Elephas maximus indicus: one gene and its partners. The protein of the gene in region 1 interacts with the protein of each later gene in a pairwise test. Links are inferred from orthologs where the notes say so. Each region holds a gene or a part of one and is shown in the gene's direction. Other genes may lie near its edges. The genes, in order: SNCA, BCL2L1, LAMP2 and ARFGAP3.

What was found.
Region 2: the proteins of SNCA (region 1) and BCL2L1 interact in binary tests that used the Homo sapiens proteins (3 or more experiments, as listed by UniProt). The link is inferred for Elephas maximus indicus from reciprocal best matches to the Homo sapiens genes SNCA and BCL2L1.
Region 3: the proteins of SNCA (region 1) and LAMP2 interact in binary tests that used the Homo sapiens proteins (3 or more experiments, as listed by UniProt). The link is inferred for Elephas maximus indicus from reciprocal best matches to the Homo sapiens genes SNCA and LAMP2.
Region 4: the proteins of SNCA (region 1) and ARFGAP3 interact in binary tests that used the Homo sapiens proteins (3 or more experiments, as listed by UniProt). The link is inferred for Elephas maximus indicus from reciprocal best matches to the Homo sapiens genes SNCA and ARFGAP3.

What each region holds. Positions count from the first base shown.
Region 1 is NC_064823.1:65,339,798-65,347,777, forward strand, and holds the start of SNCA (alpha-synuclein), read left to right. Parts: upstream 1-4,967; 5' UTR 4,968-5,054; intron 5,055-5,081; exon of another isoform or gene 5,082-5,398; intron 5,399-6,544; 5' UTR 6,545-6,569; coding exon 6,570-6,690; intron 6,691-7,980. UniProt on the Homo sapiens protein: Neuronal protein that plays several roles in synaptic activity such as regulation of synaptic vesicle trafficking and subsequent neurotransmitter release.
Region 2 is NC_064843.1:37,711,885-37,719,057, forward strand, and holds the start of BCL2L1 (bcl-2-like protein 1), read left to right. Parts: upstream 1-4,165; 5' UTR 4,166-4,373; intron 4,374-4,439; exon of another isoform or gene 4,440-5,485; intron 5,486-5,735; 5' UTR 5,736-5,859; coding exon 5,860-6,423; intron 6,424-7,173. UniProt on the Homo sapiens protein: Potent inhibitor of cell death. Inhibits activation of caspases. Appears to regulate cell death by blocking the voltage-dependent anion channel (VDAC) by binding to it and preventing the release of the caspase activator, CYC1, from the mitochondrial membrane.
Region 3 is NC_064846.1:36,116,124-36,122,974, forward strand, and holds the start of LAMP2 (lysosome-associated membrane glycoprotein 2), read left to right. Parts: upstream 1-3,836; 5' UTR 3,837-3,864; coding exon 3,865-3,934; intron 3,935-6,851. UniProt on the Homo sapiens protein: Lysosomal membrane glycoprotein which plays an important role in lysosome biogenesis, lysosomal pH regulation and autophagy.
Region 4 is NC_064822.1:187,129,729-187,136,703, reverse strand, and holds the start of ARFGAP3 (ADP-ribosylation factor GTPase-activating protein 3), read left to right. Parts: upstream 1-3,969; 5' UTR 3,970-4,095; coding exon 4,096-4,164; intron 4,165-6,975.

The sequences.
Region 1 (7,980 bases):
AAATATCACAGTAGTTTGCATGGCAGCCTATACCAATTAAAGAGCCTTCTTTTGTTCTAGACTCTATTCGAAACTATCAGCTTCTCAGGTCACTCAGTAAATGGACTGGAGTAGCACACCCAAGCAAGGAATATGTTACTTCCGTAATCCCACTAGGCATTGTGCCCCTTTGTGCTGGTTGTAGGAGGGGCCATATGCAACAGCATATCCTTCACTTACAAATGATGCCTCAACATGCCCCATACTACTGCATCCTTAGACATTTTACTGAGATACCATTGAACTCCTAGAAATTTTACTGAGATACCGTTGAACTAGAAATTTTACTGAGATGCCATAATGAGATACCACTATACAACTACTAGAACGTGTAAAAATGAAAAATATTTACAACTTCAGATATTGGAGAGGATATAGCAACCAGAACTCTTACTCATTGCTGTATGAACGTAAAATGGTACAACCACACTGGTAAACAATTTGACAGTTTCTTAAACAAACACCTACCATAGCAATTATACTCCTCGAGATTTATTGAAGAGAACTTTATAGATATGTATACACACATACACATACAAAAAGAATATTGAATATACCATCGACTACCAGAAGAATCAACGAATCTGTCTTGGAAGAACTACAGCCAGAATAGAATGTTCCTTAAAAGTGAGAATGGAGAGACTTTATCTCATGTACTTTGGACATGTTATCAGGAGGGACCAGACCCTGGAGAAGGACATCATGTTTGGTAAAGTAGAGGAAGACCTTCAATGAGATGAGTTGACATGGTGGGTGCAACAATGGCATCAAACATAGCAATGACTGTGAGGATGTCACAGGACCAGGCTCTATTCCACTCTGTTTTACATACAGTCACTATGAATTGGACCCAACTTGATGGCACCTAGCAACAACAAGAGTAAAAAGACTTGCAGAAGAATGTTCAGAGCAACTTTATTCGTAACAGCCCTGTCTTAATTATCTAGTGCTGCCATAACAGAAATACCACAAGTGGATGGCTTTAACAAAGGGAAATTTATTTTCTCACAGTCTAGTAGATTACAAGTCCAAATTCAGGGGGTCGGCCCCAGGGGAAGGCTTTCTCTCTCTGTCAGCTCTGGAGGAAGAGTCCTTGTCCTCAAACTTCCCCTGGCCAAGGAGCTTCTCAGGCGCAGGGACCTTGGATCCAAAGGATGCGCTCTGCTCCTGGTGCTGCTCTCTTGGTGGTACGAGGTCTCCAACTGTCTGCTTGCTTCCCTTTCCTTTTATCTCTTGAGAGATAAAACGTGGTGCAGGCCACACCCTAGGGAAACTCCCTTTACCTTGGATCAGGGAGGTGACCTGAGTAAGAGTGGTGTTACAATCCCACCCTAATCTTCTCAACATAAAATTACAATCACAAAATGGAGGACAACCACACAGTACTGGAAATCATGGCCTCACCAAGTTGATATATATTTTTGGGGGAGATGCAATTCAATCCATGACAAGCCCCACTGAGGTTTCCATTAACTTCATTCAAATAATTTGATCTTTTTCTGGTTCCTATGAGTCGCTATGAGTCGGAATCGACTCGATGGCATTGGGTTTTTTTTTTTTTTCTGGTTCCTGACAGATAACCTCTAGAATCTTGGGATTTCTCCAGTTATTGAAGTATCTTTCTTATCGAAGAGAACTCCAGACCCGACAAGTTATGCTAAAGAGGTGACTCAGGTGGTACCTAGACAGGCTAGAAAGACCACCACGTGATAGCAGCCAACTTTACGGAGGTAGGGCATGAATCAATCAATCATGCATACTAACTGAGGTCCCAAAATTGATGCTGGACTTGGCAGCTCCAGTGACTGCCTAATTGGTGAAAGATGTCAATACACTTGGGAGAATAGTGAGTCCCTTTTTGGGACATGGAAGCTCCGAGTTGAGAACCCTCCCAGACCTCACCCTATGCATCTCTTTATTTGTATCTTTTTCTTGTAATACAACTGTAATACAAGTATAACGCTTTCCATGAGTTCTATGAGTTGTTCTAGCAAATTATGGAATCTGAGTTAGGAGAAACTAAGTCAGAAGCGAAGGGACTTGGGAATCCTGAGCTTATGGCTGGTATTCTGAAGGGGTAAAGGGAACCCCTGAATTTGTACATAGCAGGTCAGAAAAGATGGGGGGGCCACTGGGGACTCCCAAGCTTGCAGCTGGCATCTAAAATCTTGGGCAGACTTGGAAGTCTGGAGAACAGTGCCCTATAACTTGTGAGGTCTGACCTAAATCCAGGTGGTTAGGGTCCGAGGAGGAAATGCTGCATGTGTAGCTGGTATCAGAACAAAAGTGGAATGGAGGGGAACAGAACTGATAAAAAAATTGACCTGAGATTAATTTGATTTTTCTAAACAGCCTCAAGCTGGAAAAAACCAGAAAGTACATGAACATGGAAGAATGGATAAAAATGGTGGTGTATTCAGGCAAAAGTCCTTTGCAGAGCATGAAGTACCATATAAAGGTGTGGAATCATGTTATTTTATGAAAAGCAAAAAAACAACCACTACCCCAAAATAAATCTCCCATTGGTCTGCTGTGGGACCTAAAATAGCTGTCATTTTAGTTACCCCTTTGATTTAAGGCACCGAGTCTCAAGAACGTCCCTGTTAACTTATAAAGAAATCCTATGAAATAATACATTAAATAATTATCATAATATTTAAGGGAGCCAGCTCCAGCTGTGATAGGTCACAGTGGAAAGCATTTATTATTGGCAACAATAAAAAGAAGCAATGGAAAGCAATAAGAAACACTACTGACGCGTGCAACAACTGAGTAGGAACAAACCTCACAAATACGCTGAGTGAGAGAAGTCAGACAGGTACAAGGAAAGCTCATACTCTATGATTTTGTGTAATGAAATCCAAGCATAGGCACAAATAAGAAAGGGCACAAGGGAACATTCTGGAGTGATGGCAATGCTCTGTGTCTTCAGAATGTTGTGGGTTATACTAATACATGAATTTTTCAGAGCTGATTTAAAGAGACACTTTTCACTGTATTTAAATTATACTTAAATTTTAAAAATCACCTAAATGCTATTGTGCTTGTTTTAAAGTAGTTCTTACACCTTATGGATGTATGTGGAAGTATTTACAGATGAAAAGATGCTTGTAGTATCTGGGATTTACTTACAAATAGAGGGAGCTTTGTGACAACATGTGTAGGCGTATAAATGTGGAAGTTGTGTGGTATTCACATGAGGGTCCTTTAGTCTACTCTACTTTTGTATATGTTTGAACATTTTCCGTAATAATAAATTGAAAAGAACAGAATCTTTTGGGTTCATTTTCTCATTTACCAAAGAGTCATCGGGGAACAGAAGCAGAAAATAATTGTTTAAGGTTTAACCAGTTCCCAGGTTCAACCTTCTTTCTCTGATCCCAAGGAAACAAATTATGAGCTACTGTTTTTGGAAAGCCTGCTTTAAAAAAAAGATAAAACAATAGTGCAAGGAGGTATTTAAGCAATAAATATTTATGACCTCAGTTTCACTCTCTACTTTTTTCTACTGAATATATATATGTAGACACATAAAAAAATTTTTTTTAAATGTATATGTATGTATGTATACCCATTGGGACCGTGTAGGAAAGAGGAGAACTGCCCCTTAGGGTTTCCAAGGAGCGGCTGGTGGATTTGCACTGTCCACCTATATATATATATCCTCGAAAACATCTTTAATAAATAAAACAAATAAACAAACAAAAAGCCATACAGCAAAGACTTGTTTTTTCCTTCAAGCTGTGAAATCATTCTCCTAATCCAGGCAAAAGAAAGCAAAGGCCTTCTGCTAGAGGGAGGAGCTTGATTCTCTATTCTGGTCCGATCCAGGAACATCTGTTTCCTCCCAAGCTCTGAAAGAGGTGAAAATGTGTTAAGCGATGCAAAAAAAAAAAAAAAAAAAGACGTTTTGAAACTCGAGCACGTGCGTTCGTGTGTGTGTGTGTCTGACTGTCTGTCGGTCCGTCTGTCTGTCCAGAGGGGGCTAGGGGAGGTTCAGTGTCAACTTCGAGGGCAGAGTGAATCTGAAGTTAGAAAGATGAGTTGAGTGCTTCTGAGTCTCGGTCTTACAAGCAGCCGAAGGGAAATTGGAATCATCGTTCAGGGGGAAAAACCAGACTGGATTTGTCTCCTTCATCCAGGTGCTTGGTGGTCTGGAAAGTAAATTCCATTTAGAGAGCGAAAAACCTTAGACTGACTGCTTGTTTTCGACGGCTGGGGAATATTTATTCCACAGATGGGGAAAAAAACCGGCGTCTGGCATCCTCTGATTGGTGGAAAAGAAAATGGTGACAGTGGGGTGGGAAGAGGATTTGTCGAGCTTCCTCCTGCCTCATCAACCTGTAACTCTTCCTTACTAGTCTCCTCTCCACCTGCAGGACATTTTCGGACTCATCCGAGGTTAGGATGGAGGATATTTGAACAAAATCGACCTCTGACTTTGTATTCTGCGACCGTTTACCAAATTTAAGCGATCGGAGAGAAATGTGCTCTTGTCGGTACGTATATGAGCACCATCCTAATCTATCTGAGTCCTTCAGCAGCTCCTCGAGAGATTGCTTCTGGCTCCCAGGGGTTGGCGCTGACTAGGGGTCCTCACGAAGAACCAGAGCGAAAGGAGGAGACAAGGAAAGAGAGGCTGTGGGAAAGCAGGAGAGACATCAGCCAAAGCCTAACCGCTCACGCTCGCCACAGGACTCCCCCGTGACCCTGAACTTGAGGTGACACGCCGAACATTCCACCTTCCTGCCTCCAGGACCAGGCGGGAGACTGGAGTTGGAAAGACACCCCCTTCCGTCCCTCCACCCTCCATCCAGGAAAACGAGCGAAGCGCACGAGGCAAGGAAAGCAGAGGGCGCCTGGAGTGGGGCGGGGAGAGGCGCTGACAAATCAGCTGAGGGGGCGGTGAGCGCAGAAGAAGGAGGAAGAAGAGCAGGAGGAGCAAGACCACGACGACCTGAAGGGGGCCGGAGAGAGGGGGCGAGCGACCGTGAAAGGCGAGGCGGGACAGTGAGGTGTGTGCTGTCTTTAGAGCGGACCTCGGGACCCAGCCCCGCCTTAGCATCCTTCTCCAGCTCTCGCCGCCTTCCCTTCCGACCTTGTCTTTCTCTTGGATCCTCTTGTGCGGGGGACGGGGAGTGGTAATTTGACGACAGGTTCGCGGGTTCGCCTCCCACGTCCCCAGCCTCTCGTCGCCAGGTTGTGCTGACAGCAGCCTCCTTTGGGGGACCCTCCCTCTCCTGGAGCTGCTCCGCCCTTCCTGGGCACTTCTCTCCTCCCAGTTCTCATTTCAATAACATTTGCTTAAATTTAAAAAGAGGGGGAGGAAACAGAGTTTCGGAGGAGCAGAGGGGCTCAGGTAAGTACCTGTGGAGCTAAAGGGGCAAGGAGCTTTGGAAATCTTGGAGAAAATCTGGTGGGAGATGAGGACGCCTGGGGGTGGAGGGCGGGGGGGTTGCTGCTGCGGTCAGGACAGGCTGTGCCAAGTCTCTTGGCGGTGGTTATTTGTGCTTTTGGTGAGCTGGAGGAAAGTAAGTGGATTTGGCTTTCCACCTGATTCCCATATTCTCCTTACCCACCCCAAAGGCTGAGAGATCAGGCTGATTCTCCGGATACGCTTTTCCTTTGGGAAAGGCGAGAATGCTCAATGGACGGATGAATTTCCAACTTTTATTACTCCCTTACCTAAATCCTCCACTCCACCCTCTCTGTTTTCCCTGTAATGTAAGCAAGCTGCATTTTGCAAAAAAAAATTAAACGGAAGTGCCAGAAGAACAAGTCGACATGTGTTAAAGGGTTAACAGGTGCAGGCCCAGCCTTCACCACTGGACACGGGGTCCCCTGGCCGGTTAGGGCGGAGAACTGCCCCTCGGGTGGCGCTAATCTGGAGACCACCAGCCGGTGTGAACAGCGCCTGCACTGGATAGATAGCAGAGAGTGGGGTGGATGGTCCAGTGGATTAGGAGGGCTGGAAGCCTGCTTCTGTCCAGAGGTACAGCCACACCCGGTGTGGGGGGTGGGTAGTTCTCTTCCCGCCTCTTTCCACCAAGATCAAGCTTTCAGTCCTATTCTGGGATTCATTTCTAGGATGCCTCTGAATGCACACCTACAACTCCTTTTCTTTTCTTTTCTTGTGGTTTTCTTCTAAACATGCATCTAACTTAAACTGTCACGAGTTGGATCCTAGGAAGTTGGAAGAGGGGTCCATCCTTTCATGCTACTCCACTTGCAAAATGCAGTAGAAACAGTCCTGATGATCCATCCTAATCCATGTTAGGCAGCCAGACTTTTACTGGCAAGGTGGATGAGGGACGCTAAATTTTTAAAGCAAAATCTAAAGAAGTGTTGTTTTGTTCAGCCATCGGAATGAGGATACACTTAAAAGTTTGTGTCTCACACTTTTGGGATTTCTACTGATTTCTCAGTGGTTTTTACCTTGGGTGCTTTTAATTTTGTTTTGTTTTACCAAAAAGTTCTCATTCAAAGTGTATTTTGTGTTCTCCAGGGTGGTGTAAAGGAATTCATTAGCCATGGATGTATTCATGAAAGGACTTTCAAAGGCCAAGGAAGGAGTAGTGGCTGCTGCTGAAAAGACCAAACAGGGTGTGGCAGAAGCAGCAGGAAAGACAAAAGAGGGTGTTCTCTACGTAGGTAGGTAAACCCCGACTGTCATTTTAATATTTATCCATGACTGATGGGTTAGGATGGTTGATGCTCTAAATGCTGTTTTTTTGCTTGATTCATCTTTGCATCATCACTTGCAAAGAGAATGCACTGAGTCACAGGTATGTGTGGGTAGGGGAATGTGTGCATTTCGGCTAATAGTACAAAATGAAGATAACCTTTTGTTTTTCCTGATTATTCAATTTTATAATAATATTTAGGATTTTTTAGTTCCTTTTTTTTTTTTAAATAAGTGCCTCCCTGCATTAAAAAAAAACAAACCTGTCGCTGTTGATTCAGTACTGACTCATGGTGACCCATGTGTATAAGTGACTGTACTTCAGATGAAGTTTTTAAAATTCAGAGACTTATAAAAAATAATCAAGAATATTCTTAGGAATCAAAATCATTCATAGGTCTTTGATTTCTTTTATCATCATAATGTTTCCTAATTTTTTATGTATTCTGATTTTAAATAAGATTTAGATATTGGATCCCTGGTTGCAGAATGGTTAGGTGTTCGGCTATTAACCAAAAAAGTCGGCAGTTCAAATCTACCAGCAGCTCCTTGGAAACCCTATGCGGCAGTTCTACTCTGTCCTATAGGGTTCCTATGAGTCAGAATCGACTCAATGGCAATGGGTTTCGTTCAGTTTTGGTCTGTGATGTATAAAAAAAGACGTACTGTGGCCCTAAAATGGAAAGGACAGATTAGTCTTCGGTGGAGTTACGTATTGTAGCCATCTGGTAGGCTGAGAAAGTGGTTGAGAACTACTGCTAATATCTCTGCAACGTCTATATAATACATTTCTCAAACGGCACATACTAAATAATGAGATTGATGCTTACCACTTCTACTCGTTCCTAAATTCCCACCTTGGAATATATACAGAAGTCTTGATCTTTTTTCCTTATTTATATCTAGAACTGTGTTAGGTTGGGTGTTATTTTACAAACCACTTCAAATTCTTTGGGGAAGGCGCTGTGATATAACAGGAATAGATACACACACACACACTCCCACACTCAGCCACTCTGCTCATTCTTTTTGTTCTCTTTCTCCTTTTCTCCTTTTAACTCTTCCACATTATCTGGGAGCAGCTATAGTAGCAGTAACCATGGGGTGAGTAGTAAGGTGGAGGATAACTATACTGGATGGCATAGATGACACTGGTGCTATCCTGTGTCTGGAGGGAGAAAGAAAGCTACGCTGTTTATGCAGTGTAGATTAGCAGGAAAAAAATTATACTTGGAATGATTTTTATGAATGCCTTTCAT
Region 2 (7,173 bases), on another chromosome or scaffold:
AGTCAAGTGCTTAACCGTCTGGGAGGATTACAGAGACCTTAGCACGATGTATTCTATCTTTCCAAAATATAAATCTCTTCATGTCCTTTCCTTGTTTAAAAAAACCTGGCTGCTACTTAGTGACCTGTACATGTGGCCACACATTTACCTTCAATCTCCTCTACCACTGTTCCCCTCTCAAGCATCCCAGTTTATTCCTAGGACACATTGCGGGCTTTTGTGTCCAACTGTTGTGACTTCTGCCTGAAATGCTCTTAATGTCCTTTCTCTCTCAGACAAAATTCTACTCTCGTTTCAGGGATCGCTCAACAGAGCCTGCACCTCGGGGCACAGTTGATCCCACCCTCTGCTGGGCTCCCATAAAACCAAAACCAAACCCAGTGCCATCGAGTCAATTCCGACTCATAGCGACTCCCGTAGCACACTTAAAACCAGCTGCTGTCTAGTTGATTCCAACTCCTGGCGACCCTATGTGTCTCAGAGTAGAACTCTGCTCCATAAGGTTTTCAATGGCTGATTTTTTTCAGAAGTAGATCACCAGGCCTTTCTTGCAAGGCGCCTCTGGGAAGACTCAAACCACCAACTGGTCGCTTAGCAGCCAAGCTCATTAACTCTTGGCACCACCCAGAATGGTACTCGTAACATAGAAATTGTTGTGACGCCACGGATTTTAAAAATGTAAATGAGATCATGTCCTGCCCCAGCTTAAAAGCCTCCCATGGAACAGAATAGAAAGCTCAGAAATTGACCCAAATACACATTGGAATGTAATTTATGATAATGGAAACATTTCAAATGAATGGGAAAAGATGGGACCATACATGGTGTTGACAACTAACTGGGTAGTTATTTGGGGGAAAAATTCTGGATCCTTACTCACACTTTATGCCAAAGTGAATTTACAGTGGAAAAAAAATTTTAATGTAAAATATGAAGCCATGTAAAACTACAACATGTAGAATTCTTTCTATAAAATTGAACTGGAGAAGGCCTTTCTAAGTATAACACAGAACCCAGAAGCCCCAAAGAAAAAGATTGATAAAACATATAGAAGCTAAAAGTTTTTTCATGGTAATAAGTAATAAAACCAGAAAAATATTTGCAACTCATACATATGGGGGAAAAGGGATAAAAACCCCTATAAATCAATGAGGGAAAAGTTCAACAGCAAGACCCACTGAAAAGGGGGCAAATGATATGAACAGAGAATTTACCAACACAAGTCCAAAAAAATCGCTCGAAAATATGAAAAATTGCTCAACTTCACTTATAATAAAGGGACTGAAAAATAAAAGTACCTCTCAATTTTTACCTATCCAATTTGCAAGGATCAAAAGGTTTGGTATCACACTGTGTAGGCCAGGGTGTGAGGAAATAGGCAGTATGATACTTGACTGATGGAAGAGTAACCTGGTACAACTGCTGTATAGAACAGTTTGCCAATAGCCATTAAAAGCAAGAAAAAAATACATTTACTCATTTACCTGGTAATTCACTTCCAAGAATTTACCTTGCAGACAAACTCCCACATATGCAGAATAATGAATGGACCAGTGACAGCATTATTCGTAATAGCAAAAGATTGGAATCTACCTGTTGTTCTTAGCTGCTGTCGAGTCTTTTCCGACTCACAGCGACCCTACGTGCGACAGAACGAAACCCTGCACTATCCTCACGATCATTGCTATGTTTGAGCTCATTGTTGCAGCCACTGTGTCAGTCCATCTTGTTGAGGGTCTTCCTCTCTTTTGCTGATCCTCTACTAAGCATGATATCCTTCTCCAGGGTCTGGTTCCTCCTGGTAACATGTCCAAAGTAAGTCTCTCCATCCTCACTTCCAAGAAACATTCCGACTGTACTTCTTCCAAGACAGATTTGTTCATTCTTCTGGCAGTCCATGGTATAGTCAGTATTCTTTGCCAACACCAAAATTCAAAGGCATCAACTCTTTTTCGGGCTTCCTTGTTCATTGTCCAGCTTTTGCAAGCATATGAGGCGATTGAAAATACCATGGCTTGGGTCAGGTGCACTTTAGTCCTCAAAGTGATATCTTTGCTTTTTTGACACTTTAAAGAGGTCTTTTGCAGCAGATTTGCCCAATGCAATATGTCATTTGATTTCTTGACTGCTGCTTCCATGGGTGTTGATTGTGAATCCAAGTAAAATGAAATCCTTGACAACTTCAATCTTTTCTGTTTATCATGATGTTACTTATTTTTGTGTTTTGTGTTTATGTTGAGGAATAATCCAAACCCTGGTGGCCTAGTGGTTAGGTGCTACGGCTGCTAACCAAAAGGTCATTAGTTCGAATCCACTAGGTGCTCCTTGGAAACTCCATAGGTCAGTTCTACTGTCCTATAGGGTTGCTATGAGTCAGAATCAACTTGACAGTAATGGGCTTCTTTTTTTTTTTTCAGTTATAATCCATAGTGAAGACTGTAGTCTTTGATCTTCATCAGTAAGTGCTTCATGTCCTCCTGCCAAGCATGATGTCCTCCTCCAGGGACTAGTCCCTCCTGGTAACATGTCCAAAGTACGTGAGACCAAGTCTCACCATCCTCGTTTTTAAGGAGCGTTCTAGTTATACTTCTTCCAAGACAGATTTGTTCATTCTTCTGGCAGCCTGCGGAGTCTATCTAAATGTTCCTAAATAGGAGCTTGAGCAAATAAATTATAGCATGTCTTTATAAAGTTGTGCATTAATTTAAAAACTTGAGGCAGTTTCAAAATGTAGAGCTCAGTGAAAAAAAACAAGGTGTATAAGTGTGTGTAGCATGCTACTGTTTGTGTAAAACATTTATACATATAAATAAGCTCCTGAATATAGCAACCATCTTTGAAAGGCTACATGGGAAAAGGTGATAGCCTCTGTGAGGGGAACCAGGGACTTGAAAGCAGGGGTGAAAAGAGGACTTGCTTTTCATTCACGTGCTTTTGTACATTTTTAATACTCAGTGTTCCTATATACCTATTTTTAATCAATTAACATACCTTTCCATGCTTAGAATCAATTCCAACTCATTTCCGTGATTAACTTTAATCTCCTCTCACACTATACCCTTCTCTCACTACTCTCCAGCCATACTGCTTCACTTTCAGCTTCTGGCATGTGTGGAGATCTTCCTGCCTCGGGACATTTGCACATGCTATCCTTCTGCCTAGGTTGATGTTCTCCAGCCTCTTCGGATAGGCTGGCACTTTCTTATCCTCCTAGTCTTGGGTTCAACGTCTTCTCTTCAAAGAGGCAATCCCTAGCTACCCTACATAAATAATTGTGAATAAATGCCTCTCCCCTGACCACCCTGTCTAAAACAGCACCTCTTCTCTTCCTTGGCCCTCTTTATGACAATACCCCGAATTTATTTTCTTCCTAGTACCAATCACTATTTGAAATTATCTTGTTTGTGTATTTTCTTAGTTGCTTACTGTCTTTCTCCATCTCTATGGTTTAAAAAAAAAATGGTTTAAGCCTCCAGGAAAACGGGCTGTATCTGTCTTGTTCCTAACTCTATCTTCAGCAACCCAAACAGTATTTGTTGAATAAACTTACACAGCACATACTATGGTATACACACTGTTCTCCGGACTTTACAAATAATAATTCTCTTAATCCTCACAATAACCCTACGTAGAAAGTCGGTACTATTACCCAATTCACAGGTGAGGGAACTGAGGAACAGAGCAGCTGAGTAACTTGTCCAAGTGGCAAAGTCGGAACCCCAGAGATAAGTTTCTCAGCCACATCCATTGCCGGCTAGTCGTTTCCAATTCATAGCGACCCTATAGGACACAGTAGAACAGCCCCAGCCCCATACGGTTTCCAAGACTGTAAATCTTTAGGAAGCTGACTGTCACGTCTTTGTCCTGCGGAGCCGCAGAGCGGCTGGTGGGTTCCAACTGCCAATACTTCGGTTAACAGCAGATTGCTTAACCACTGCGCCATCAGGGCTTCTGTTTTCAGCCACAATGTGACGCTTTCTCGACATACAAATTAACAGGTTGATGAAAGAGACGGAATGAATAAATGAATGTGTGAATGTAAATGTTGATTTAAGGCTTCGAATTCCCCAGATGTTCCGTAAGAGGGCGCTCTCTCCCACGCCTTGACGCCAGTCATTTAAAGCGCGCACTCCCTTTGCGTCTCGGGCTCGCGCGCGCTGCCGCAGCACCGGAAGTGACTGAGCTTGCAAGTTCCCCCGGTCTCTTCAGGGGAAACTGAGGCCGGCTTGTTGGGAAGAGACGGCAAGAGCAGTCAGCCAGGTAGGCGGGCCCTGGTCCGCGGCACGGAAGTCAGTCGCGAAGAGCTCCCGTGTCTGGAAACTACCAGGCCCATGAAGGGGGATGTGGCCCCCCACGCCTCGCGGGTCTCGCAGGTGAGAGCACCGCCTCCCCTGCGCGTGACAGGCGCTGCGCCCAATGGGAGCCCTCGCCGTCCCGCGCCCGTGCCTATTGGGCTCGCTGATTGGCTACGGTAGGGCGGCCGCCAGGGGCGAGACCCCTCCTCCCAGAAAGGTCTAGGGGGAGCCCCTGAGGAAAGAAGGTTGCCTAGCAACAGGGCGGTGGCCTGGCGGGTACCCGGCCTAGCTTGTTGGAGAAGCCGCGAGGCCGCAGCCCACCCACTCCGGGCTTCGGAGGTGCAGCCCCCCCGGCCCCTCAGCCCTCCCGGGGGCGGCAGGAAACCGCCGTGGGCCTGTCCCCAGGAAAACGTGGTCTCGGCTGTGGGGGGCCTCGAACGGCCCTCGACCCCACTTTCCGACCCGAGAAGCCGGGCGCCTCACCGTCACCCGGTCTTTGTGCACGGCGCCGGCGGCCATTGTGTCCGGGCGGGGAATGGAGGACCGGGCAATCCCCTACTACCACCGCCACGTCCAGGGCCATTGGGGAATTCAAAGAAAACCAGCAGCGTTTGTGGGGGGCCCCCGGCCTTCAGCCTCCCGGAAAGGGCCGGGGATGGCCTTTCCGAAGCCACATCGCGCATCCGAGGCTGTTTCCTCCTTCCTCCTCCCCTCATCGAAACCTTGAGCCCATTGAGAAGTCCCTGCAGGGTTTCAGAAGCTTCACCCTGAGCTGGTCCTTTAAATAAATAAATAAATAAACGGCACAGCAGCCGCCTCCGGGGGAGTTCTCCTGGCTCCCGGTAGGAGGCGGAGAGCCAAGGGGCGTGCGAGAGCAAGGGGGCTGGGCTCCCGGTGGAAGGAGGCCGCCGCGGCGGAGCGGCCGCCCTCGGTCTGGGCGATGGAGGAGGAAGCGAGCGAGGGAGCCGGTTCCTGAGCGCCGCGGTTCCAGTGTCGCCTTCAGGGCTTCCAGCCTGCCGGCTCGCATGAGCCCTCCGGCTGGAGCTGGTTTTTTTTTTTTTTTTTCTGCCAGCCGCCGCGAGGCCGGCTGAGTTACCGGCATCTCGGCCGCCACCTCCCCTCGCGACCTATGATACAAAAGATCTTCCGGGGGCTGCACCTGCCTGCCGCTGCCTGAAACGGATTTGAATGTAGGTGGTGTGGGGGACTGCCCGTGAGGGTGACTTTCTGAGGAAGGCTTTTCAGAGAATAGGGGGTGGCTAGAGTGAAAGAGGTTGGTGGATGATTCAGAGCCCACTGGGGCTTTCCATTTGACTTTTCGAAGTCTCCTGGAAGCTAGACCCAGACCGTCATAAGAGCCACACAATCAGCTCTGGTACCCGGAGGGGGAATGTGATGTGGGGAGATGGCATACATATTAATTTTTTTTTTCCCCTGAAGCTTTTTCCCTTCAGAACCTTATCTTGGCTTTGGATCTCAGAGGAGAACCACTAACAGAGACAGACTCAGTGAGTGAGCAGGTGTTTTGGACAATGGACTGGTGGAGCCCATCCCTATTATAAAAATGTCTCAGAGCAACCGGGAGCTGGTGGTTGACTTTCTCTCCTACAAGCTTTCCCAGAAAGGATACAGTTGGAGTCAGTTTAGTGATGTGGAGGAGAATAGGACTGGGGCCTCGGAAGGCACTGAATCCGAGATGGAGATCCCCAGTGCCATCAATGGCAACCCATCCCGGCACCTGGCAGACAGCCCTGCGGTGAATGGAGCTACTGGCCACAGCAGCAGCTTGGATGCCCGGGAGGTGATCCCCATGGCAGCAGTGAAGCAAGCTCTGAGGGAGGCAGGCGATGAGTTCGAACTGCGGTACCGGCGGGCATTCAGTGACCTGACATCCCAGCTCCACATCACCCCAGGGACAGCATATCAGAGCTTTGAGCAGGTAGTGAACGAACTCTTCCGGGATGGGGTGAACTGGGGTCGCATTGTGGCCTTTTTCTCCTTCGGTGGGGCACTGTGCGTGGAAAGCGTAGACAAGGAGATGCAGGTATTGGTGAGTCGGATCGCAACTTGGATGGCTACTTACCTGAATGACCACCTAGAGCCTTGGATCCAGGAGAACGGCGGCTGGGTAAGGACCACGCCCCTTGTGTGTCCCATTTCTTTGGCCTCTGGTCAGAGAGATCCTCAATAGCCTTTCCCTTGTATCTCTTTCTCTTGTGCTGGGTGATGGTTGGAGATGTTGCTGGTTCAGGGATGTGACTGGCCTCATTTCACTACAAGGAGTTAACTGTTAGGAAATACAGATGACCTAGTTCTTGAAGGACCTGGCATCTTTCATTCTGGTCATCTTCATGACCCTACTTTTTCATACTTGTGCTTCAGTACCTCAGTGAAGGAAGACATAGCCTATGTGTTCATTCAGGTCAAAACCTATGCAAGTGGGAAGTTAGTCCAGTGTTTCCTCACCCTGACACAATGGTTCACCACCCAAACAGGTAATGAGTATAATGCGTGCAAAAGAGACTGAGCATCAGTGGTCCACAAACCCCTCCATCTTTTCTCCCCCAAGGGTGTCAACCATCCCCAAAACAAGTTCCCTTTATTTTGGAGTTTCCTTGTGTGGTACTTTCCTCTCAGGATAGGGCATGGCCAGGCAAAACTTTCCACCACCGTGTTGGATGGCTGAAGATTGTCTTATTTTAGGGCAGTGTAGGCTGTGCCAGCCTTTGTTTGCACCACACCCCTAAGTGTGCAACTTTCTGCGTGAGTGGTATGTTTGTGGAGCTCTTGCTGTGTCATGCATTAAGCCTGGGGACTTTGCACCTCACTGCCTGGGGTCGGTTGGAGAGCTCCAGCTGCTCTGCCTGTTGCTTTCCGG
Region 3 (6,851 bases), on another chromosome or scaffold:
GTATCAACAACAGACTTGAGAGAGGGATGTCAAGGAGTTCCTCAAACACCAACCCCAGACCAATGTGTAGATCTGCCTCTATTACAAAATGTTGCATAAGATTTAATCTTAGAAAATTAAGAGAGTGATAAAATTTGTTTTTTTAATTTTTTTTCTTGAAAATTTGCAAAACATGAGGTAAAACATGAAGGGACCTGGTAATGACTGCACATACATTTTATTCTAGTCTCCATCTTCTTAGCCTTTTTATTATTTTTCATGAAACATTTTTCAAAACATGGTACAATGCATTCTTCTTTACTGCAAAAGCAGTACTTACAGCCCAAATAAATAAAGCCAAGGGACTTTTTATATCAAGAAAATTACCACTGCAATGCTTTCTTCATTACTGCAAAAGAAGTATTAATAGGCCAAATAAATAAAACTAACAGAATTTGAATCTCAGGAAAATTACTACTACTGTGTATTCTCATTAATACAAAAGCAGTACTAACAGCTAAGAAGCAGAAACAGCTGCCCTGGAATACTGCAGAACTGCTCACAGTGGTGCATGCCACCTGCTACATGTGGAAGCAATGACTGGACCCTAAGACTGAATGCAGAGTAGGAATAATTTACAGGAGTTCCAATCTCTTAAAAAGTACCACTTCAACGCATTATTCCTTATTGGAAAGGCATTATTTACTGTTCAGAAGCTAGAAAAGATGGAAGCCAGTAACACCTGGAAACAATGAATGGCATGAAGGAGAAATGGCCACTATGGATGAAGACTGGCAACAGCTTATTGTCGCAATAAGTACATTCTCATGAGAACATAGCAAGTGGGAAACATAGTGAAGAGGAGGCTTATCTCACAGAAATAAAGGCAAACCTGTCAAAAGTTTAGAAAATTCACACAATTGAAAGGCATCACCCTAACACAATGCTCAATCTACACAAAAACGAGGCTTCCACTCGGGATTTTTGAGTTTCACGCATTTCAAAAGGCTCCCACCTTAAGGATAAAGGCGTTAAAATTGGGCTATCCCCTTTCCAAAGAACTCCAGAGACCTAAAAAGTAGGTGGGATAAAATTTGTCCTATGGGTCTTGAAAGGGTTTAAGAACAGGGATCCATTGTCTTACAGTTCTGAGGGCTAGAAGTCCAGGTATTGATTGTGTTGATTCCTCCTGAGGGTTCTGAGAGAGTGACTGTTCCATGCCTCTCTCTAGGTTCTAATGGTTGCTGGCAATCCTTAGCATTCCTTTGCTGTTTGCTGATGTATCTTCACATGGTGTCTTCTCCCTGTCTCCATGTCTGTTTTCCCCTTGTATTAAGACATCATTCAGAAGGGGATAGGACCCACCCTACTGTGGTATGACTTTATTAATTGATAACAAAAGGATAACCCTATTTATAAACAAGGACTAAGGTGCACCTGGCTCAAGCCACGGTATTTTCAATTGCCTCATATGCATGCAAAAGCTGGATAACAACAACAACAACAAAAAAAAAACACAAAAAAGAAGAATTAATGCATTTGAATTATGGTGTTGGTGAAGCATCTTAAATAAACCACGGACTTCCAGAAGAATGAACAAATCTGTGTTGGAAGAAGTAGAGTGAGAATGCTCCTTAGAAGCAAGGATGGCAAGACTTTGCCTCATGTACTTTGGACATGTCCCGGGAGAAGGACATCATGCTTGGTAAAGTAGAGGGTCAGGGAAAAAGAAGACCCTCAACAAGAAGGATGGACACAGTTGCTGCAACAGTGGGCTCAAACATAGTAACGATTGTGAGGATGCCACTGGACCTGGCAGTATTTCATTGTGTCCTACATAGGGTCGCTGTAAGTCAGATTCAACTCAATGGGACCTAACAACACAAACAAGGCCACATTCATAGGAACAGGGGTTAGAACTTCAACCTATCTTTTTTGGGGAAACAATTCGATCCGTAACAATTACCATCTCAAAATGTCACTTCTTATTAATGGTGAGGCATTAAAGGACCTTTTGCTAAAGGCAGTGCCTAAAGTTGTAGTGAATATTAGTCCTGTATTGGGCAAGTCATTTACTCATGACTCAGTTTCTTCTATGACAGAAGACATACATTGCCAAGTGTTCTCACTTTCAGGAATTAATTATATTAAAACAAACTATAGTGAGGGTAGATCAAAAACAAAAAAACATTGCCATCGAGGCGATTCGACTCATAGAAACCCTATAGGACAGAGTAGAACTGCCTCATAGGGTTTCCAAGGAGCATTCGATGGATTGGAACTGGTCAGAGGTTGAGCTCTTAACCACTGTGGCACCAGGGCTCCAAAAGGGTACATTAGTGATTCTTAATATTTGAGTGTGGGGGAGGTAGAGAGTTACAGGTCCCATCTGAGAACTCATGAAAGCTAGAAACCTCCCCCATAAAAATAAACGTACATAAATGTTGCATGCAACTTCTGGGAAGTCAAAGACCCTCCTCCCAAGTCCATTCACAGAGGCAATTAAAATCCCCAGGACAAGATGGTTTTGAAGCTGTATTTCAGTGTTTCTCAAAGTGTGGTCTATGGGTGATAGGAATGAGAACCACTTGGTGTGCTTGTTTAAAAAGAGATCCCTAGGACTACTACATACCTACTGTTTCAGGATCTCTGGGGGATGATGCCAAGGAACCTGTGTGTCTTTAAAAAGCCCCAGGTGATTCTTTTGGAAAATAACATTTGAGAATCAGTACTTTATTCCAGCTTGAGGTTTTCGGATGCTTTCATTTGTTGAAGACTTTAGGTTTCATCCGTTTACCTGTCAAGTATATCAAACAGTGAGTTCAGTATGGTCTCATTAAAAATTTACATGTGTATATACATGTATTTTGAGATATATATATATATGTGTGTATAAACCAAAAAACCAAACCGGTTGCCATTGAGTCGATTCTGACTGATAGCGACTTTATCGACCTTATAGGACAGAGTAGAACTGCCCCGTACGGTTTCTAAGAAGCGCCTGGTGGATTTGAACTGCCAACCTTTATGGTTAGCAGCCGTAGCTCTTAACCACTAGGCCACCAGGGTTTCTATACATATGTATGTATATATATTTCTCAGGATGTTAACAGTGTTTCTCTCCAGGTAGTGGGATTATGGAAGATCTTAATTTTTTCCCCTTTATCCTTCTATTTTCTTTTTCTTTATTTTTTTTTTCCTGTATTTAAAAAAGGCTCTTCCTCTTTTTGGGTTCAGTTCTCCCAACTGAAACACAAGGATGTTGCAAGTAGATGAATTTAAAGGTCATGTCCTGCTTTGGTGGTCAGGGACTCATTACTACCCTCTAGCTTACTTGTCCATTAATAGCATGATCTGCATAGGTACTAAGTGCGTGCTCAATACAACCAAAAACCCACTGCCGTCCAGTCGATTCCAACTCATATGTATTACGTTGAGATGCCTGGCCACCGTTTTTATCCCAGCAAAATCATTCTCTTCTTTCTCAAGGAGCCATAACTGAAATAATCTCTACTATCTACACCCCGCCCCCTCCTGCAAAAAAAAAAGTTTATCCTCTCGCTATGGTTTTAAAAAAGGCCGTCCGCGCACATCTCTTATGAACTTAAGAATGGTTGTGAACCAAAAAGCCAGGGCTTCATCGCCCCGCCCCCCGGCCCTACCCCACCGCCCCTTCTCGACGCTTTCTAGAGCGGGGATTGGCTGAAGGCAAGAAAGAGCCCTGCCCTGAGTCTTATGACTCGCGCTTAAGCGCTGATTCCTGGCTCTGGCAGCGTCGTGGTCAGTGGTCACCGGAGCTGTTACCCAAGTCCCAACGAGCAGCTTCCTTGGTGTTGCTGCTCTTGTCGCCGCCGCCGCCGCCGCCGCCTCTTGGTTTGCGGTATCATGATGTACCGAGGCCTCCGCCTCTCCCCGGTTCCGGGCTTGGGGCTGGTTCTGCTTTGCGTCGTCCTGGGTGAGTTGTCAGGCCCGCCGGCTTAGGCTCCCAGCCTAGGCCCGGCGGGGCGTCACTTCAAAGGCTACAAACTTGAAAGACTGGTCGGCGGGGCGGGGTTGGAGGGGCTGACGAGCTGACACTGAGCGGCGGCGGCAGGCCCGGGGAGGCGAACAGTAACCTAGAGTAGGCCTGACCGAGGGGTGGTGGGGAAGATGGGCCCAGGAGAGTAGGATGGGGCAATAAGGGGGGGCTGGTGGACGCCGAGGGAGTGGGTAGAGAAGAGTGAGGAGGGGAGGAGGTCGGGGTAGAAAGAATAACTTGGAAGGATACTGAGGAGTGCGCGTAGGAGGGCGGTTCCTGCAGATTAAGGGGTGGTAGAGACAATTTGGAGAGGAAAATCCTGGTTTCCCAGGAGCAGGGGCGAGTTTGGGAGATGGTAGCGAAACTATGGAGTGGGTGAGAAAATTGCAGAGGGAAGAGACTGAGCCTGCATGGAGAAGTTTGGGGGAAAAGCTTAGGTAGGGGACAGATCTGAGGATTCAGTCTCAGGAGTAGGGAGGGGAGTGGAATGGTATTTGTAGGTAGGAATTTGAGGCCATGAAGGAAGGAGCTGAGGAATGATGCTGGGTTTAAGTTTGGTAATCAGAGCGTTTTTTTTTTTTGTAGTATCACATTTTTTAAATTTTTTAAATTTGCCTTTGAACAGCTAATTCATAACATTGTACAAAATTATCAGGAGGTGAAAATTTAGTAGGAAAAATATAAAAGTTATAAAAAGATATACAGGAAAATTAAGTCTCCCTTCCCTGTCGGTCCTCCAGCAACCCAGAGGCAACCATTGTTACTAGCTGCTTGTTATTACTTCAGAGATATTTTATGCATATGTATAACCAAAAACCCAAATGAAACCCATTGCCGTGGAGTTGAGCTCTTAACCACTTCACCACCAGGGCTCCTGCATAGGTAGAATAGTTTTTTTTAAAAAAAGAAATAATAGCAAACTATGTGCACAATTCTGCACTTCGCTTTTTTAGTTAAAAATCTATATTCTAGAAACTGTTCCCCAGCATTATATGAAACTTTTCTCATTTGTTTTTTCTTGTTGTCGTTATTTTTTTCTAAATTTTATTTTGTTGTTGTTATTGAGAATATACTTACTAAACATATACCAATTCAACAGTTTCTGCATGTATAATTTAGTGACATTGATTGCATTCTTCAAGTTGTGCAACCATTCTCACCCTCCTTTTCTGAGTTGTTCTTCCTTCATTAAGGTGAACTCACCGCCCCCAAGGTTCCTGTCTAATCTTTTGAGTTGCTGTTGTCACTTTGATCCTGTATAGATAGTTCTTAAAAGAGCATATTGCTCAAGGCAGGCCTTTTTTTTTTTTTTTACTAGTTAAGCTAAACTGTTGTTTGGTTTTAAGACTTCAGGGGGTATTTTGGGTTTAAGCTTTAAAGATTATCTCAGGGCAATAGTTTCAGGGGCTCATCCAACTTCCATTGCTCCAGAAAGTCTGGAGTCCATGAGAATTTGGAATTCTGTTCTGTATTTTCCCCCCTTTTGATCGGGATCCTGCTATAGAATCTTTGATCAAAATATTCAGTAATGGTATCCGGGCATCATCCAGTTCTTCTGATCTCCTGGCAAAGGAGGCAGTGGTTCATGTAGGCAATTAGCCACATATCCCATATCCTTTTCCTATTCTTGACTCTCCTACTTCCTCTATTGCTCCAGGTGAATGGAGACCAATTGTTGTGCCTTGGATGGCACTTGCAAGCTTTTAAGACCCCAGGCACTACACAACGAACTAGGAGGTAGAACAGAAGCACTAATCATGTTATTAGGCCAGTTAGCTGGGATGTTTCATGAAACCATGACCCTAAACCTCTAATCCAAGGAACCAAATCCCATGAGGTGTTTGGTTACATATAGGTAGAGTTTTGAGGATGAAGGAACCTAAGGTGGTTGGGGCAATTTTGAGGCAAGAAACTTGGACCCAACTTCGGGAGACTAAAGGAGGAAGTGGGGAGTGAATTTCTGATTTGGATGTATTGAGGATGTTGTTTTTCTACCATTTTTGCTCCTTCCTCCCAGCCAGACCCTGACAAAGAAATCCCCCAGATGCTTCACTTGGGGAGAATCTCCCAAATGTGAGGTTTTGCGGGTGGTATATTTGCATCTTGTATACTACCTCCTTGCCTTCCGAGCCTCTTTTTTTCTTCTCCCTGAACCCATAAGTAGCCTATTACTTTGGTTTGTTTGTTTTTTGGGAGGGAGGATAGGTAGCTTCCTAAGGACTGAGTTGTTACCAGGTCCTAAGAATGACTGGGTGAATGTTGGCTGATTGTGCTGTGCCTCTAAGTGGTGCCCTAATAGCTCTAAGGCCTGAAAAGTGAACTTTGACCAGAATATCTCTTCCCGACTGGATCATCCCATGCTTGTTGCTACCCACTGGCTCTTGCTATCTGTGAAATAATAAAAGAACAGAAGGAACAGACTGAGATGGGAGTGGGGAAGAAACAGGCATATTAGGGGTCTGAGAAGGCAGTGAGAGGAATACAATTTGTAATTCACATTTCTATAGGATCAAATCAACACCCTACAACAGTGCTTCTCAACCAGGGGATAGTTGGCAATATCTCAAAGCGTTTTGAGTGGTCATAACTGGGGTGGGGATGGCTTCTGGCATCTAGTAGGTAGAGGCTAGGAATGCTGCTAGACATCCTACATGCACAGACCAGCCCGCCCCCCCCACACAAAGAATTATCCCACTCAAAATGGCGGTAATGCTGAGGTTGAGAAACCCTGCCCTAGAACCATAGCATTGGAAGGGTTCTTGATTATCTAATCCCATGATTCTCAAAGATCTTTTTATGGGGTCTGTGAGAGCAAAACTATTCTCAGAACAAAACTAAGAGGTTATTTTTTTCA
Region 4 (6,975 bases), on another chromosome or scaffold:
TGACCAACCAACCCCCTCATTGCTCATGGGGAAACTGAGGCCAAGTGAGGGGAAGAAGAGGCTTGCCCACTGTCACAGGGCAACTGGTTGGGGGGCTGAGGGAGGCCTGGCCCGTGAGCAGCCCCTCCTGGCAGGGAATCGGCTGGCTCCCTCTTCCTGTTTATCTGCCCCTGGCCTGCAGTGGGCTGACTCATGCATTTACCAAGCGTTTATTAAGCACCTACTGTGTGCGAAACTATGGTGCCAGGACAAACATGAAGAACTGGGCTTAGAGCAGGAGTCCTGTCGCGGGGTGGGAGCCCAGAGCCCGATGGAGGGAAGGGCAGGAGAGCTGATGAGGGGGGTATGCTGGGTTCTGGAGGTCGCAGCCCACAAGTCTCAGGAAATGAGGACAAACAAGGGACTCCCAACTCCCCAAGGCCCTAAGGGGCGGGGTAACCCTGGGCTCCTTTAGCTGTTACCCTTCCCTTCAGTGAAGGGGCATGTCTTAGTTATCTAGGCTGCTATATAACACAAATGCGATAAGTGGATGGTTTTCACAAAGAGAAATTTATTCTCTCACAGTCTAGGAGGCTAGAAGTCCAAATTCAGCTCTGGGTAAGGTCCTTGTCATCAGTCTTCCCCTGGTTGGGGAGTTTCTCAGCACAGGGACCCCAGGTACAAAGAGTGTACTATTCTCCTGGCTTTTGTTTCTTGGTGGTATGAGATCCCCCTGTCTCTCTGCTCACTTCTGTCTTTTTATATCTCAAAAGAGATTGATTTAAAACACAACCTAATCTTATAGATTGAGTCTGGCCTCATTAACATAACACCTCTAAGCAGGCCTCATTAACATCATAAAGGTAGGATTTACAACACAGGAAAATCACATCAGATCACAAAATGGTGGACAATCACAACACTGGAAATCATGGCCAAGTTGACACATTTTTAGGGGACACGATTCAACCCATAACAGGTTGCCTGACTCCCACCTGGGCAGGAAGTCAGGCTGGGGCAGATGAGGAGGGAGGACCTCCAGCTGGGGGTGACCCGACCTGCACAGAAACGATGGGCCTAAGAGATAGTTCACTGTGTCCTCATCAGCCCTAACTAAAGTCCACTGGTGGTGTCCTCCAGGGGCAAGGGGCAAGTGTCAAGATCTTTTGCCTGTCTGCACTTTGTGATGCAGCGTATGACTGTCTAGACATGTCTAGCTTTTCCTTAGGGTGGCATTTGGCTTTCAGCAAGCTCCCGTTCCGCTGTAATTGCACTAAATAAGCAAAATGCCCTTTCGGTTGGCCACAGCCTTACCAGGCTGCCTTCATAAAAGATAAATACCCAGGGCAATTACACAGAGGCTGTGGGGACATGGCTATATGTCTGGGCCCTTCTTTCAAAACCGTCTTCTATCTTAAAACCAAACAATAGTTCAGCTTAACTAGTATAAAAAGATCTGCCTTGAGCATTATGCTCTTTGAGACCTAGGTCTATGGGATCAAATTGACGACAGCAACTTGAAAGATTCGATGGGAACTTCAGGGCGCAGTGAATTTACATTAATGAGGGAGGAACAACTCAGAAAAGGAGGGTGAGACTGGTTGCACAACTCCAGGAATGTAATCCATGTCACTGAATTGCACATGTAGAAATGGTTGAATTGGGGTATGTTCTACTGTTGTGTTCTCAACAATAACAAAGTAAATGAAATGATAACAATAAAGCCCTCCTTCGTTCTACTATCCCTCAGACTCATAAGGACCCTATAGGACAGCAGAACTGCCCCATAGGGTTTCCAAGGCTGTAAATCTTTACCAAAGCAGACTGCCACACCTTTCTCCCGAGGAGCGACTGGTGGGTTCCATTAGTAGCCAAGCACTTAAGTACTGAGCCACCAGGGCCCCTCCTTGGCGGGGGGGGGGGGGGGGATAAATAACAAGGATAATTACCCAGAGGCCATGTAGGCCTGTCTGTTTGCCTGGATTCTGCTTTCAGAGCCCTCCTTTGCACTGTCCCTCAGAGCTCAAGCCTCATCCTCGTCCTCAGTTTCATTCTTCCAGGCTATCCTTTTAGTTTTTTTTTTTTTTTTCCCTCATTCTCTATAATCCTTACTATCTTTTGGTACCTTTAAAAGAGGCTCCTTCTCCTGCTCATTCAGGCTAGAAATGAGGTGTTAGGACACTGCTTTCCAGAGAAGGCCTGATACCTTCCCCATCTTGGTGGAGAAACCCTTAGCAACATCTATCATCTGTCCAGACTTGACTCAATATAAGGAAGAACTTTCTAACAGAGTTGTTTGCTAAAGTTGATTGTTGTTCTGGAAGGTAATAAATTTTCCTTCTTTGGAAAAGTTCCAAACCTGGATTTTTATGGCTTTCCATTCCCTACAAGCTTCCAACTTCTCCTCACGGTATCTAACTAGACATCTTGAGTTGAGTAAACACTCTCAGCTTCTAAAAGTGGAAAGACCACTGCTAAAGGCTTTTCCAGGGCTTCACTGGGAAGCTGCCCTCCTGTGCTGCCCAGCACTGATTCTTCATCTGTAAACCCATCGTATAGACGAGCGTTTTAAAGTTCAGAAAAGTGAAGTGTTTTGACCAAGTTTACAGCATTATAAAGTGGCTGCAGTGAGACTGCAGCCAAGGTATTATATTTGACTTCCAAACCTGTTACCCTTCCACCGCACCATCCAACCTCAGGCAACACCTTTCTAGCAGCTCCACACCCACTGTTATAAAAGAGGTACCTCCTCCATGGGTTTAAACCCTTGTAGCTAGCTAGGGCAGTGGTGGTTCAGTGATGGAATTCTCGCCTTCCATCCGGGAGACCCCGGTTCAATTCCTGGCCAGTGCACATCAAGTGCAGCCACCTCTCATCTATCGGTGGAGGCTTGCATGATGCTATGAGGCTCAACAGATTTCAGCAGTGCTCCCAGACAAAGACAGACTAGGAAAAAAGGCCTGGCCATCTGTTTCTGAAAATCAGTCAATGGAACCCTATGGATAACAATGGTCCAGCCCAGTTGTGCCTGCATGGGGTCACCATGAGCTGGGGGGAGTCCACTACAGCTAACAACAATTAGAAATAGTAGCCAAAGGGGAAGAAGTAGGCCAGGAGGCACTGGGGTTCAAAGTCAAGCATCTTTTCCTGTCTACACTCTTCAGTTTGAGTACTTTTTGCTTCAGGGAGGACTGGTCTCTTGACTACATTCTACCCATTAAGTAAACTTTAAGAAAACCAGTTTTCCAGGGTAGAAAGCTTCCCCATCTAGGGCTCGGCCTCAGACGTTGTTGTTAGGTGCTATTAAGTAGACTGTGACTCCCAGTGACCCCATGTGGCAGAGCAGAACTTCCGCATTGGGTCTCCTAAACTGTAATCTTTATAAGAGCAGATTGCCAGGTCTTTCTCCTGCGGAGCAGCTGGCGAGTTCGAACCGCTGACCTTTCAGTTAGCAGCCTAACGTTTAACCTTTACACCACCAGGGCTCCTTCAGCCTTAGCTGAGGGGAGGAAAAAAACAAGGCGACTAGGGAAAAGCCAGCGGTCCGGGTGGGCTTCAGGCTCCAGTCCTCTGTCTGGCGCCAGGGACCGAAGGCGGGGAGGCCCTTTGCCTCAGTTTCCTCCTTTGGCATTTGAAGTGCCTGGCTCTGCTGTCCTCGCGGGAAGGATGCGAGAAGACCTTGGCCGTGGAGGTATTCCATCAGTCGAATGAGGACCAACCAGCCCAAACAGAGCCAGTCGCACCTCCCCACCCGGGCTCGGTGCCCAGCAACCCCCGGGGGAAGCTGCCCGCGATAGTGCTGGCAAAGGCGGGAGAAGGAGAGCCACCCTCACACGCACGCGGGCAGCGCCGGGGGCGGGGCTTAGGAGGGGCGGGGCCAGGGTCCGGCAAGGCCGGGGCCCGCAGGGACGGAGAGCGGCGCGTGCGCCTCGTTTGTGGGCGGAGCCGGGGCGGGCCTTTCCGGGGCGGAGCCGGGGCGGGCCCTTCCGGGGCGGGGCCTGGCCGTAACGCTCAGCCCCGCCCCCCGGCCGTCGTCCTTCTCCGGGAGGCGGCAACCGCTCCTCCTCAGCCCATCCGAGTTGGCGGAGCCAGCAGCACCCCGGCTCTCCGGTGACGATGGGGGACCCCAGCAAGCAGGACATCCTGACCATCTTCAAGCGCCTCCGCTCGGTGCCCACTAATAAGGTAGGGCCGCCGGGCGTGCTGGGGCCTGCCGGGCATCCCTGCCGGACCTCGCGTGCGGCCCTGCGGGGAGGAGGAGCCGCCTGGCTGTGACACGTCGCACTGTGGGGCCGCGGCGGCCTGGGCCTCGCCTGTCGGGACCAAGGAGGGCCCGGGAGGGGGCTCACGCCCAGGGCTCCGGGCGGGGCGGGCACTGGGGCTCCTGGGGGCCCCTGGGGTGGGGGGCAGGCCCCTGGGGGCTCCTGTCACCGGGTGGGGGGCAGGCCCCTGGGGGCTCCTGTCACCAGGCCGGGAGCATATGCTGAGGGGGCGCCCGGTAGGTCGACACGTGTGAGCTCTTGAGAGGGCAGGGGGTGAGCACCTGGGGGGCAAGCACTGGGGGGCTCCTGATATTAGGGTGGATATTGGGACCCCCCCAGAGAAGGCTGAGGGAGGACATCACGAGGCACCTGTGATCCAGCCGAGGTTAGACGCTGGGACCGCCTGTGACCCCAAGCCTCAGAAACCCCAGCTGGCAGCTCAGGGTGCTGGGGAAAGCTCGACTAGCCCCCTCCGCATCCTGTGGGAGCCCGGGTGAGTCCCTCTGTCCCCTAGTGGTAGCCTTGGTCAGTTTTCCTATCCGACGAAGCTGCTGAGTGGTCTCTTCGATGGTTTCCAGCTTTTTTCTCCTTTGCTAAGAAAGTTGATCACAAACCCTTTACTTTTCTCAGTTTGGGTCTCTTTGGAGATTGGGGTTTTCTTTTTTCTTCAGAGGCTGTTTCCTCTCCCTCCGCCCCCCCCGCCCCCGCTAAAACTTTGACAACTTTTTGCAACTGGTTGGAGGTGTGATGACGCATCTGGAGAACGTGACCCGACACACTCAGCGGAGGATCACAGGTCAGAGTGCAAAGGGCTGCCCTGTCAGCGTGGATGCTCCCCACCCCTCCAGTGGCAGAAGCTCTGTCCCTCTGTCCACAGGGCCTGCAAGGGCCCTGGCCTTTACCAGACCCCTACTCCCACCTCTCAAGTGAACAGCTGTTACCAAGCTTGGTCCTGAGCCTGGAAATGATGGCATAGAAAATCCCAGAGTTTTACAAAATTCAGGTGGTTTTAAGTCTTCATGGTGGTGGTTGTTGTTGGATGTCATCAAGTTGATTCCCACTCATAGCGACCCCATGTGTTACAGAGTAGAACTGCCCCTGAGGATTTTTTAGCATGTGATCTTTGTGGAAACAGATTGCCAGGTCTTTCTCCCTCAGAGCTGCTGGGTGGATTCGAACCGCCAACCTTTTCATTAGCCAAGTGTTTACCCATTGCCCACCAGGGCTACTTGATGATGGAGGAGCACCCGTATTTTTACAGCCTCAGAGGAGGGAGGTAGGAAACAGTTTATTGGGGGTGATGTCTGCCGGATATAGGAAAGCCAGGAGGAGAAAGCCCCAGTGCCACACTTCTGTGGTATTTTCTTGATTTTCAAATTTGGATTGATCTGTTTATAAACAGTGGTTACTGTATAACTAGGCAAGATTAGGATCTGCACTGAACAGTGTAGAGACTAGAATTTTTTCTGTCGCCTTTATCACAGAAACAGATCAACACGTGTTCTCTTTTGCTGAATTCATCAGAGGAAGGGCGGCCCCTTCAGAATATAAAGTCAGTGTCTTTATCCTAAGAGATACTTCTGGAGGGACATCTGTGGGCTTGCTTGTAGATTATTACTCAAACTCTGCCACTTTCTAGCTCTGTTACCCTTGGGCAAGTTACTTGGCCACTTTGTATAATATTTCCCTGATGTGAAAACGAGGGCAGGAGCTCATTGCGACTCAAAGGGTTATTGTGAGAATTAAATGAGATAATCTAAGAAATGCACTCAGAGCTGTACCTGCATATATTAAAAAAAAAAAAAAAAGTCACCGTTGAGTTGATTCAGACACATCATGAGCCCATGTGTCACAGAGTAGAACTGCTCCGTAGGGTTTTCTTGGCTGTAATCTCTCCAGAGTCGGGTCAGTTCTGTTTCATAGTCACCCGATAGGACAGAGTAGGACTACCCCATAGGGTTTCCAAAGTGGTAATTTCTATGGAAGCAGACTGCCACGTCTTTCTCCTGCGGAGAGGCTGGTGGGCTTGAACAACCAATCTTTTGGTTACTAGCCAGGTGCCTGACAACTGCACCTGGTGGCACAGTGGCTAAGAGTTCGGCTGCTAACCGAAAATGTTGGCAGTTAGAATCTACCAGCTGCTCCTTGGAAACCCTACGGGGGCAATTCTACTGTGCTCAGTAGGGTTGCTATGAGTTGGAATTGACTCGATAGCAACAGGTTTTTAAAATCTTTACAGAAGCAGGTTGCCAGACCTTTTTTCCACGGTATTGCTGAGTGAGTTCGAACTGCCAACCTTGGTTAGCAGACAAGTGCAAACTGCTTGTGCCATCTGGGGACCTACCTGCGTGTATTGTTGTTGTTAGGTGCTGTTGAGTCAGAAAAGACCCGGCTTCTGCCTTCAGGGAGCTGATACACTAGAGAACGATGGACACAGAAGGGCTGCATGGCGGTTTGCAAGAGGCAGAGTGTTGTTGTTAGGTGCTGTTGAGTCAGTTCCGATTCATAGTGACCCCATGTACAACAGAGCAAAACACTGTCTGGTTCTGTGCCATCCTCGCTATTATTATGCTTGAACCCATTGTTGCAGCCACTATGTCGATCCATCTTTTTGAGGGACTTCGTCTTTTTTGCCAACCCTCCACTTTACCAAGCATGATGTCCGTCTCCAGGGACTGGTCCTTGTTAATATGTCCAAAGTATGTGAGACAAAGCCCTACCACCTGTGCTTCTA